3 linked regions of the Drosophila melanogaster genome follow. The protein of the gene in region 2 purifies or fractionates together with the protein of the main gene of each other region. This does not show direct contact. Each region holds a gene or a part of one and is shown on either strand. Other genes may lie near its edges.

What was found.
Region 1: the proteins of DCP1 (region 2) and Edc3 purify together in Drosophila melanogaster (affinity purification with western blotting; 3 studies listed by BioGRID). This does not show direct contact.
Region 3: the proteins of DCP1 (region 2) and yps purify together in Drosophila melanogaster (affinity purification with western blotting, with the first as the bait; one study listed by BioGRID). This does not show direct contact.

What each region holds. Positions count from the first base shown.
Region 1 is NT_037436.4:17,528,213-17,531,966, forward strand, and holds the start of Edc3 (enhancer of decapping 3), read right to left. Parts: upstream 1,650-3,754; 5' UTR 1,257-1,649; coding exon 697-1,256; intron 629-696; exon of another isoform or gene 488-628; intron 409-487; coding exon 1-408. Other genes in the region: Nedd4, read left to right, coding at 2,635-2,823. UniProt on the Drosophila melanogaster protein: In the process of mRNA degradation, may play a role in mRNA decapping.
Region 2 is NT_033778.4:23,888,662-23,892,415, reverse strand, and holds DCP1 (decapping protein 1), read left to right. Parts: upstream 1-2,139; 5' UTR 2,140-2,223; coding exon 2,224-3,342; 3' UTR 3,343-3,652; downstream 3,653-3,754. Other genes in the region: DNAlig1 (DNA ligase 1), read right to left, coding at 1-589, 645-1,277, 1,338-1,628, 1,684-1,746, 1,804-1,820; CG5597 (uncharacterized protein), read right to left, coding at 3,671-3,754.
Region 3 is NT_037436.4:12,123,448-12,127,201, forward strand, and holds the start of yps (ypsilon schachtel), read right to left. Parts: upstream 1,704-3,754; 5' UTR 1,440-1,703; coding exon 1,265-1,439; intron 128-1,264; coding exon 1-127. Other genes in the region: Ir68b (ionotropic receptor 68b), read right to left, coding at 2,040-3,754.

The sequences.
Region 1 (3,754 bases), on a different chromosome or scaffold from region 2:
ATGCTGCTCTCCCTTCGCACCCTGTTCCGCTTGTTCTTCCCGTTGCCGTTGCCATTTCCATTGGTATAAGAACCATTTCCGGTGCCATTTCCATTGTTATTGGCATTGCCATTCCTTCTTACATTTCCATTTGTATTCCCATAGCTCGAGGCTGCCGTCTGCTTGTAAAATCCATCTCCGTTGCTGACGATATCTATGGGTTTGCTGCTGCCCAACGACAAACCAGTTGCCTCGCCGCTATCTCCGCTGCTGCTGCAGTAACTCTCCCGGGTGTTGCTCACGTAGGAGCCCAGTTTCACCTCGACCTTCGGCGGTATCATGTTGCCAAAAAAGGCGGCCACGCTGTTGGGAGTCGTTGATATCTGCGGCTGCTGCTGAGCGCTGGACGCACGGGATGTTTGTGGTGTTCTGGATGACGAAACAAATATAAAAGTTAGATGAAACCTATTTTAAATACGACGCTCAGTTGGCACAAGACCTATCTGAAACGACTGTTGCTTTTTATCAGTAATAAAGGTAATTTACTCATTTCGTATCTCAAGGTTGGTAAGTTTAAACATAAAGATGGCTTCAAAATGAAATGAAATAAACACAATCGTGCTGACTGCAAAAATCTTCATACTTTTTTTTTTTATAAAGAGCTAACAATTAATTTAAATTATTGGCATTGCACAATCGTTTAATGGGCCATATTACCTAAGGGTGCCATTTGAGCCGTTGGTCTCGATTAGCTTCAGCTGATGCATCTTATCGCTTAGCGCCGAATTGAAGTTGCCACGTGGGCCCGAAGAACTCGATGCTCCGCCAGCCGCTACCCGTCCATTGTCGTTGGCCCTTGACCGCGGCGTCGATGGCAGATCCTGTTCTCGTTCCTGCTCCTGGAACTGCTGTTTCTGTTGCTGCTGGAGTTGTAGCTGCTGCTGCTGCTGCTGGAGTTGGAGCTGCTGCTGCTTGCCCAGGATGTTGGAGAAGTGGGGCAGCTTGACGGGCGTGGGCTTGTTGACCACTGGCGGCGGCGCCGTGTGCCCATCCAGATCTTGCTTTGCGGGCTCGATGAGATCGATGCTGCGAATGTCCGTGCACTTGAGGACCACCTCGGCGTTCTGCTTTCGCAGCGGCACGCCATTGCGGAAAGCCCTCACAATGGTGATCTCCTCGGCAGAAATCTGCTTGATCAGGCCCTGGAAGACGCCCAGGACCTCGTCGCAGGCTATAGACACTGCACAGCCGATCCAGTCTTGATCCGTCGGACCCATGTAATCAGTTTTCGATACTCCCTTTGCGAATGCGACAACACGTTGGATCGGCTTGTTCTGCCCTGGCTAATGGTTGTTCGAAATGTTTGCTGGCCCGCGCAGAGCTGCTTGTTGTTTTCGTTTCTAATACGCAATTTCGCCACTAACTAACTACGCACCACGCACCTCTCTTCCTCTTCTTCCTGCTGCTGCACCGCCGTTGATTCTAGTGTTTTGTGGCTTAAAGTCGGGTGTTTTTGAATTATTTGGCTCTGCGGTCAAGGGGTTCGGTATTTTGTCTCTTTTAATCAATAAATGCACCAACCGTTGCAACACATTGACGCTAAAACTTATTGGATTTCTCGTTTCATTGGGATTTTCACTGCTTGCGTGTGGCCGTTCGTTGGTGTTCAGATAATACCGAACAATACCCAAACTAGCTGCGTGGCAAATTAGTTTACTTAATAAATTTATAATAATATACATATTTATAATAACTACAAATTTCATGCTTTACGGAAACTTCACCTTATTTTGATAAATATTTGGTTCAATAAAAGCCTGCGAGCCATTTTATGAATTTAACAAGTGCTTCCCTTAACTGTTAAGGCTTCTGGGTGCTGTGGTATGTTCTCAGTGCGCGTACACGGTCACTCTGGCAGTTTTGTTCTCGATTTTGTCGCCGTTTTGTGCATTTTTCCCGTCCGGTGTTTAAATTTTATTTAATACTGCGCGTGCGACATATATACAGGCACCTATAGCCGACCGATATCGGCGATTAAGGCATGTGCGCCGCCGAAGCGGTCAAAGTGATAATCGCTTGAATAGTGAGCAGTGTAGAATTTGCCGTGTGATAGAAGTACGTGATGATTTTCCGCAAATAGTGGATAAAGGCGAGCCCACACGCATACCACCGCAAAATATATACATAAATCGGGCGAAAATATAGTGGCCCGTGTTTGTGCGTGTGTAAACGTAAGTGGAAAACTTGGGCGAAACTTTATGCTAACCATAAATGGTCTACAAAGACATGGCTTCGCGCCTGGCTAATTATCAAGAAAATGTTTGGCTTTTGTGCTCTATCACCCACACCTCATTCACACAACACACACACTAGAAACACGCTTGCACGGGGGCAGGGCGGCAGACAGAGATGGCATCTAGCACAAGTACCGTTGTTCACTTTGTTTGCTGTCTTTGTTGTCTGTTCGCTTTTCTTTCCTTCGCTTCTGTACACCCTTCCCCCTCTTGTTACCTTATGGCAGCCTCCTCTTCTTCTTCTTCGTGTCATTTATCGCTTAATTTGCACTTCCGCTTTGCACATATTCACCCTCTCTCCTTCCGTCATTCTTTCATTGCAGAAGCTTCTCTAAAAGAAACAAACAACAACAACACAACAATGTCGGCACGTTCCAGCGGCTTGGTGGCCGCGGCGGCCCTTCCCGTCCCGTCGTCTTCTTCCTCGGTGGCCGGCGGCGACGTGCCACGCCCGCCGCCCCGCCGGCGAGCGGCCTCTGTTGCGGGACAACAGCAAACGCGCCAGGAATTTGGAAATGGTTACACTCCTCGCAGATCGTTGGCAGCAGTGGTAAGTTTACATAAGTGCAGGTGACGACGAAAAGAGAGAGCTTTACCTTGAAGGACAACTTAGGAACTCTTCTAACATCTTAGGAATTTTGTAGGAGCACCTTATGGTTACAACCTTATTTCACAACGCATCCAACTCTGATTGAAAAATTTCATTCCATTTTTGATAAAGCCAGTTAACTAATTATGGGTTATATAAACGCGTATGTATCAAATTAAGTTATCATAACACCAAATAGTGACCGTGGCACCTATATGTTTATCAATTTTTAATAGATAGTAAGGTATTACTTACTATGACATCTTATAAGATACTCTTATCAATTGTTTTGGTTTCGTTGCAAACTGACTAATCAATAAATGTATCTCATTTTAAAGGGCATACCGAAATGTTGTCTTATCAAAACTAAGCCAACCAATTCCTATAACCTTTTATAAGGAATTGCCCACAATGTATCCACCATTTTGTTGGTGTGAAGATTTGAAAAGTATTTATCAACGGGTGGTGCTGGGGGATTTGGTCGCCCTTATCAGTGCCTCCGCTGTATTTAGTGTTTCCATTTTTACGATGTTTTCACTACTAATCTAATCTGCAGATTGCCAAACAGCTGAGTCGTGTAGATGGGCCATGTAGATTTCACTCCCCTCATGGATGATAAAGTGGGATATATGTATGGTGGGAAAAGTAGGGGATCTACAATTCCTTCAGAAGCCGAAAAGCACGAAAAACTTACGAACTGTTCTTATCCAATACCTAGCTTTTACGGTGTAAAGGTCGTTGCATTTCGTCAACCATTAAGTTAGATGTAGTTGTATTTCAGGAGTGACTTCCATAAGTCTTTTTTTAGGAGGGCCTTTAATACAGCACATTACATTTTATCGTTTAGTCATTGTTTGCTTGTACCAATTACTTTATAATGTTAAAGAAAAAG
Region 2 (3,754 bases):
TATGTCATTGGTGTCCAGAGCAGTGGCGAACTTCCACTCGCCCTCGACCTCTTGAAAGTGCTCCAACAGGAGCTTGCGACGCTCCGACAGGTTTTTGGTCACCAGAGCAGTGCCATTGATGTACAGCAGATCGAAGATGTAGACACAGACTTGGACCTTGATTTCCTCGATATCAACGTTCTTCCGTTTGCGCGTGCTGAGCACCTGAAACGGCAGAATCTGCTTGCGCTCCACATCCCAGGCCACAATTTCGCTGTCTATGATGTAGGACTTTACGTCGCCCTTGAGCAAGGCAGTGCTCCTGGCAATCAAATCCGGATATTTTGCCGTGTTGTTCTCGGAGTTGCGCGAGAATATGCTGATCTCCCCCTTCTCGTTGCGGTGGATTTGGGCCCGCTCTCCATCGTATTTCCACTCGCAGGTGATTTGCATGCCGCCGAATCTCTCAAATACCTCATGGACCCCCTTGGTGGGCTGGGCGAGCATGGGCCTCAGCGGCATGCCGGGATGCATGGGGCAGCGTTCCTGCAGCTCCTTAATATCGTACTTTAGAATGGCCGGTATAATGATATCGTAGTTGGGACACTGACTGCAAAAGTTCGTTAGCATCTGAATTATTAGCTGGTTCTTAAGTTAGTTCTTACCAGTATGCAGTTTTCAACAGCAAAGTGGTGTCGACTATTTCATCCTTATACACATCCGGCACCTTGCTAGCCTTGCAATCATCGATGTGGTTCTTTTTCACCAAACCAATGGCCAGCGCTGTGAGCAAACTCTGCTCTGCAATGCCAATTCTTAGCTTGCCAATCAATGAACGGATAAAGAAGCGAGCCTCCGACGATCGACAGGCCACAAACATATTGTACACCAGGTCCATTTTCGACTGACCGGATAGCTTGGCTATTTCGCGTAGCTTCCGGAACACATCCCTCACATTCAGAGGCGCTGGCTGGAACATCATGCGCTGTGAAACGCGCGACTGCTCGGCCACGATGCCCAGATCCCCGGTTAGCTGCGTCTGCGATTTAATGTGAGCCAAATTACGCCCCGTTGCCTTGCAAATGGCCTTCATCAAGGTGGTCTCGGCAACGCCCAGCTCCAGTCCCTCGTAGGCGGGCGCCAGTTGGTTGATGCTGAGGTAGACGCTGGGCACAAGATCCTCCGGACTGACCAGCATCACAGAGCAGAAGAAGTTGCTCAGCGTGTCGATCATCTTGAGCCGGCCTTTGGTCTCCTCGATTACTTGAAATGTGCGGGCCAGTGCCAAGTAGGGAGTGCTGGAAAGTGTTTCCTTTGATATAATTCGCCTTGGAGGCTCAAAATCCTGCACTACTTACACCTTTTTGTCCTTCCAGTAGGCATTCTTGAGCGGATGATAGGAGTCGGCGGATGGATCGTAGTTTTCCACATCCTCCTTAGTAGCGGCAGTGGAGTTGAGACCTATGGTTGTGACCTTCTTGTCAGTGGTCTTGTCATCGACTTCCTTTGGTTCCTTCTTAACATTTTTCACCGGACTTGTCTTCTCCTCGGAATCCACAGACATAGGTTCTACCTTGGGCTTAGTTTCCGGGGAGGCACTTTCGCTCTTGATGTGGGGTTCATCTGGGAGTTCGGTCTTCGCATCAATCCTATGATTTGTCGAGGAATTTAGTAATGAAACAAGAAAACAGCGGCACCATTTACTTAGGAACTTTCTTGGGCGGCGAGGGGCTGTCGGTGGCATCGGATTTCTTCTTGAAGAAGGAGCTGAAACGGGGGATTGTTAGATTGGCAATACTTAGCATTTGTTAAATCGTAAATTACGTTATAGACTTTTGCATTTTGTGGCAATTCTGTGTTCAAATAAATACAAATTGCAATGCAATTAGTTCCCGCCAGTTTCTAGAGCTGGTCTTCAGTATCGATATATTGAAATGGAAATGCTATCGAAGTTGAAAATTTTATTAGTAAACATAAATTAAATGTTTATGCTACATAATTGAGAAATATTATTACGTACAATTGTGGCCATTTTTATATGCAAGTCAATCGACTTAATATTTCTCAAACAAATCATTAATAGACAAAAGGAAGAGTTTATTGTCATTCGGTGTGACCGCAGCACAGTCGTTGATAAACACGGGAAAACATCCACGGGGCAGTGTGACCAGAGCGCCGTTAAATTCACAAATAATTGCAATTCGCAATAGCACAGCCAAAACTGAAGATTACATACAATTTACAATGGCCGACGAGAGCATCACGCGAATGAACCTGGCGGCCATCAAGAAGATCGACCCGTACGCCAAGGAGATCGTGGATTCGTCCTCGCACGTCGCCTTCTACACGTTCAACTCGTCGCAGAACGAGTGGGAAAAGACCGATGTGGAGGGAGCCTTCTTCATATACCACCGCAACGCGGAGCCCTTTCACAGCATCTTCATCAACAACCGACTGAACACCACGTCCTTCGTGGAGCCCATCACCGGCAGCCTGGAGCTGCAGTCGCAGCCGCCGTTCCTGCTCTACCGCAACGAGCGCTCGCGCATCCGCGGCTTCTGGTTCTACAACAGCGAGGAGTGCGACCGCATCAGCGGCTTGGTGAACGGGCTGCTCAAGTCCAAGGATCAGGGAACGAATGGCCAGGCCCAGCGTCACGTCTCCGCGCCCCAGCAGCCAAAGCAGGACAGCAGCCAGCCGGCCAGCATATTCAACATGCTGACCAAGGCCCAGAAGGACTACAATGCCCAGGTGAGCGGCGGGCAGCCGAAGACGCCTTCGGCGGAGAACGTAACGGCCGGCAATGTGTTGAAGTTCTTCGAATCGGCCAAGCAGGCCACGGCAGAGTCACTGTTCCACCGCGTCCAGCCGCTCTCCGTGGACCAGCTGGAGAAACAGCAGCGGGCAGCCACGCCTGGCGAGGATCTGTTGCCCCCGGCAGGCAGGGACAATCACGAGAGCCGGCTGTCGCCCTTCCAGAAGATGCAGCAGCTTAACATTCAGCTCCTGAGCGACCTGAAGATCGGTAAAAGCTACGCTACGGCTCAATCTCCGACAGTCGCCCCGTCCTCGTCGGCGCTGATGGCCAACGACGATGCCGGCAAGTGCTTGCGGAGACTGCTGGCTGGCGACAAGCCCGGGCCGGCCCTCATGCCGCCCACCATGTTCGACGCGCCCAACAACGGCAATCCGGAGCCACAGCAGCCACAGCAGCCACAGCAGCCACTGCTGAACTCGACGCAGTTCGTCCAGGCCTTCACGTACCTTATCCAGAACGATAAGGAGTTTGCCAACAAGCTGCACAAGGCCTACCTGAACGGCTGTTCCAATCTACTGCTGGACTCCAGCTCCACATATCAATAAACAGAAATATTCAACATTTCCGAATTGCAGCCCATATTTTCATTTGTTCGCATGGAGTTCGAGTTCAAGCCGAGTTAATTTACAAAATGTAATAGCTGTAAGCCGACAAGGGCAGTCGTAGATTTAAAATCTAGAAGCCCCGCCGGAGAAGGACGGCATCCATTTCCAGAGCAACCTTAAGAGTTAACTAACGTAGTTGGTTTTGTGAAGTATTCGTATTTATTTACAAAATGGTTAACTAGGCCGAAGGGGCGTAGAAAAGGTAGTTGAATGGCAAACAGAATTCAATAAACATTAATTTAGTAACAATAAATAACAACGCTTTTATTTAGGCCAATACCTTCAGCTTGCAGAGCAGGTAGTACAGAAAACAAAACAGCCACAGGCTGAAGTCGACGTGGCTCCTGCCCGC
Region 3 (3,754 bases), on a different chromosome or scaffold from region 2:
TTTTTGGGGTTGTTCCGCGCAATGGCGCTCTGGTGCACAAAGACATCCTCTCTGGTGTCGTTGCGGTTGATGAAGCCGTAGCCGCTCTTCACGTTGAACCACTTGACGGTGCCGGTGACTTTGGTGGCTGCAATGGGAAAGAGTAGAAATTATAAACAATTGGGGATAATAGTGGGATTCAATATTTTTGGCGGTACTTATTCTACAAACGTGTGATCATTTAATTGATTTCAATGGTATAATACTTGTTTGGGATCAGTTGCAATCATTCCTTTATCAAATATTATAATCCTTTAAACATTATACATGCAACAAAAATATTAGGGAACAGTAGGGATGCACAGCGAGCTGACTTCTAAAATACAAATAATTCTACATAAGAAACTTAAATTATACAAAAGGGGTAGTTTTGAGATAATACTTTGCATTTTTTTTTTATTATAAAGGAGGGGCAAAACGCAATACATCTGAAACTAAACTAATACGCAGTTTGAAAACTCATTGAAGCGTGCAATAACATTGAAAGACGTTTTATAACCACAAATTATTGGTTAACAATTATTTAAAACTATGGTTACCAAAATTTCGAATAAACCATATAAGTATGCATATAATATGTTGATTTACGCGAAAATATAGTGGCATCCCAAATTATTTGGCAATATATTGTAATAGTCGCCGAATATTATTGTATCTTATTGGTTGCATTATGGTCTCGTGTTTTGAAATCGCCTTATAGCCATGCTTCCATGCGTTTTAGTGTGTGTGTGCAAATAGATGTACCAAAACAATGAACACACACATCCACACCCGGCTGTCTGCCCTCTCGTTCGCACTCCCGCTGCGCGCGCATTAACAAATTGGGTTGCCCTGGCTCGCTCTGCATGTGTGTATGTGTGTGTGTGTGTACACCTATGGGGGGGCATTTTTTAAAGAGGCGAAGCGGGTGGGGTTGGTGGTTGGGTGGGTGGAAAGACAGACGACCGGCAAAAGGCAGAATTTTCAATTTGGTTAGCCGGCGGCGCGAGCGTTCGTGCACATACATATATACATGCGTTGCGTTGCCTTTGGCCGCACAAAATGGCCGACGCGCGTATATTTTAAGACTCAAAACACACACACACACACGCATACAGGGAGGCATGTTTCTTGTTCTTTTTTCCTCCTTTTTTTCATTGCTATTTTGGTAGCAGCCGCCATGTGTTCGCGGCACATGAATGAAATTGGTTGGGAATTGGGTTTAACATGCGAGTTTCAGCCTTACCGATGACTTCCTTGGTGGGCGGAGCGGGCTGGCCCTGCTGTCCCTGCAGCTCGTCCAGCGGCTCCTGCTCGTGATCCTGCTCCTGCGGATTCGGCGGATTCTGCTGCTGCTCCGGCTGCTGCTGCGCCTGCTGCTGTTCGGCGGCCAGTGGCTTACTCTCCGCGGCATCAGCCATCGTTTGTCGTGGTTTTGTTATTTGTTGTTCGGCGACGACGAAAACGAAAAGCGGGAAATGCTGCTGCTGCTGTTGATGATGGTGGTGCTGCTGCTGCTGGTGTTGTTCGTGTCTGCCCGGCTGGTATTCGGGGTCTTGGGCACTCTCTCAACTGCCACTAACCACTTTGGATGTTGTTTTTGAGTGTGATCTTAAAACACTCGCCACTCGCAGGGTTTTCTTTGCCTTAGCGATTCTATTTTGTTCGCAAGCTCCGGAAGTGAAACATGACAGCCGGAGGCAGGGTTGCTGGTGATCGGACTATCGATGGGTGCTATCGATGCTCTGATACTGGGGGTCTCCAGTGTGCTGTTACGCGCGGAATGTTAAGCCATAACAACATAAAAAGCCGTTACATTTAAATTTACAAGAAAGGTTAATTGGAATAAATGGTTAAATTCATTAAATGGTTAGAATAATATAAAACTACAGTTTTATCATTAAAATGTATAAAACAACATGTCCAACTAAACAGCGGTGAAATTTATTGAAAACTTAGTATAGTATTTACAATAACAAACATATATGTACCTTTTATTTAGTAATTTTTAATATTTTTAGTTAGCTTGTTCTAGCTTCAACCGCATTCCGAAGTGTCTGTCTCCGCCAAAACCAATGAGCGTGCTCCACTGCAAATCCCAAGCAGCTTATGCCAATCCCCACGGACCAGAGATAGAAGGCGCCCTGCAGGATGTCCAGAGTGAGAACCACCTTTTTGTTACGAATCGCCAACTCGTTGGAGCCGGAATCCGTGTCCGTCTGGTCGCCCAGATCCTCGAGAAACTCCTCAGCATCCGGCGACGCACCAACCCGGGTGATCAGATCCATTTGACGCCAGTGCTCAAAGAAGCCGTGCTCGAGGAAGCCACTGTACAGAGATTCCAAGCGGTGCAGAAAGGGCGATCCTCTTGGTAGGATGTAGGTGCATATCATAGAGCGCAGATATTCCCGGGCGATGTGGTAGGCTGGTCGCTCTGCCTGCGAGTCATAGGTGATGGCCAGAAAGTCACGGGCGTGAAAATCCCGCATGATAAAGGCCGCTCGTCGATCCCTGCGCCGGACCACCGGCTGGTAATAGGATGTGGCTATTCCCAGTGGCAGCTGGCGACTACGGTTCTCCAGCAGACCGTATTGGTGCTCCGTCAGGGCGCTCCTAACTGCGTCATACATCGTGGTCACCGCATAAATGTGCACATCCAAATGTACCAAATCGTCCACTCGGTCCACCTGCTCCTCGTAGCTTGGTCGCACAAATCCGGACTCCAGTTTGGCAAAGTAGATGGTGGACAGGACGTAGCTGAAGAGGATCCAACCCATGAGGAACGTTCTCATCGAGCTGAAGGAGGATAGCCTGCCCGCCGGTTCACCCACATGTGTCTTGCCGAACATCTCGAGAATCTCATACCACGTTGCCTGAAACTGGATGACTCCGCGACGGGGAATTCTTCGCTGCAGACGTTGCATCACCCAGAAGACCAGCACCACAACCAAAAGGGTGACCAAGAGCAAGTACCACACAGTTCGCCGAAAGACACGCACGAAGATCAGGTACTCCGGCTGGATTGCGGAGGCGGGCACGACCAGGTGCAGGTTGCGACGGGTATAGGGATACAGCACCTCAACCGCTGGCCAAATGCAGTCGAGCACGAAGCGGGAATTGGGTGCAAAGTGGGTGTGACCACCGACTATGTCGCTGACCACGCCGGTGTAGTTTCCATTCGGAAGGCAACGACCGTAGGATTCGTTATCCTCCGGGAAGACATATGTTACTGAGGCATTCAACATCTCGCCAACAACTCGGGCCGCCACTCCATCCACTGCCTGATAGCCAGCTGTCTCCACAGGACTCCTGGGCATCGCCATCAACGGATCCGTAAACATGGAGAAACGCAATGGGTAGCCGCGCAAGTCCTTCACCTTTCTTGCGTACGGCACTTCGCCATCCAGCCGCTGAATCACTTGGAGACCACCCCAAGCAAAGGGATCAAAGTCAAAGGTGCCATTTTCCCTGCCGGTAATGGCCAATCCGTAGAGCAGCTTCTTGGCCCAACTGCCGCGAAAAAGTCGCAGTAACTGATGCCTTCCGGCATTTGGCCAAACAAACAGATACTTGTGCATATGCTTGCGCCTCTGGTGAGGATTCAACATGTCCAGGATGCGGCGTACCAAGGAATCACCCTTTTCGGCAGCCGGAATTTGAAAGATGCTTAGGCTGTCCGTTCGTCTAAATGGTTCCAGCTCATGTGCTTCCATGTTCCGTGTGATTACGGGCAGTC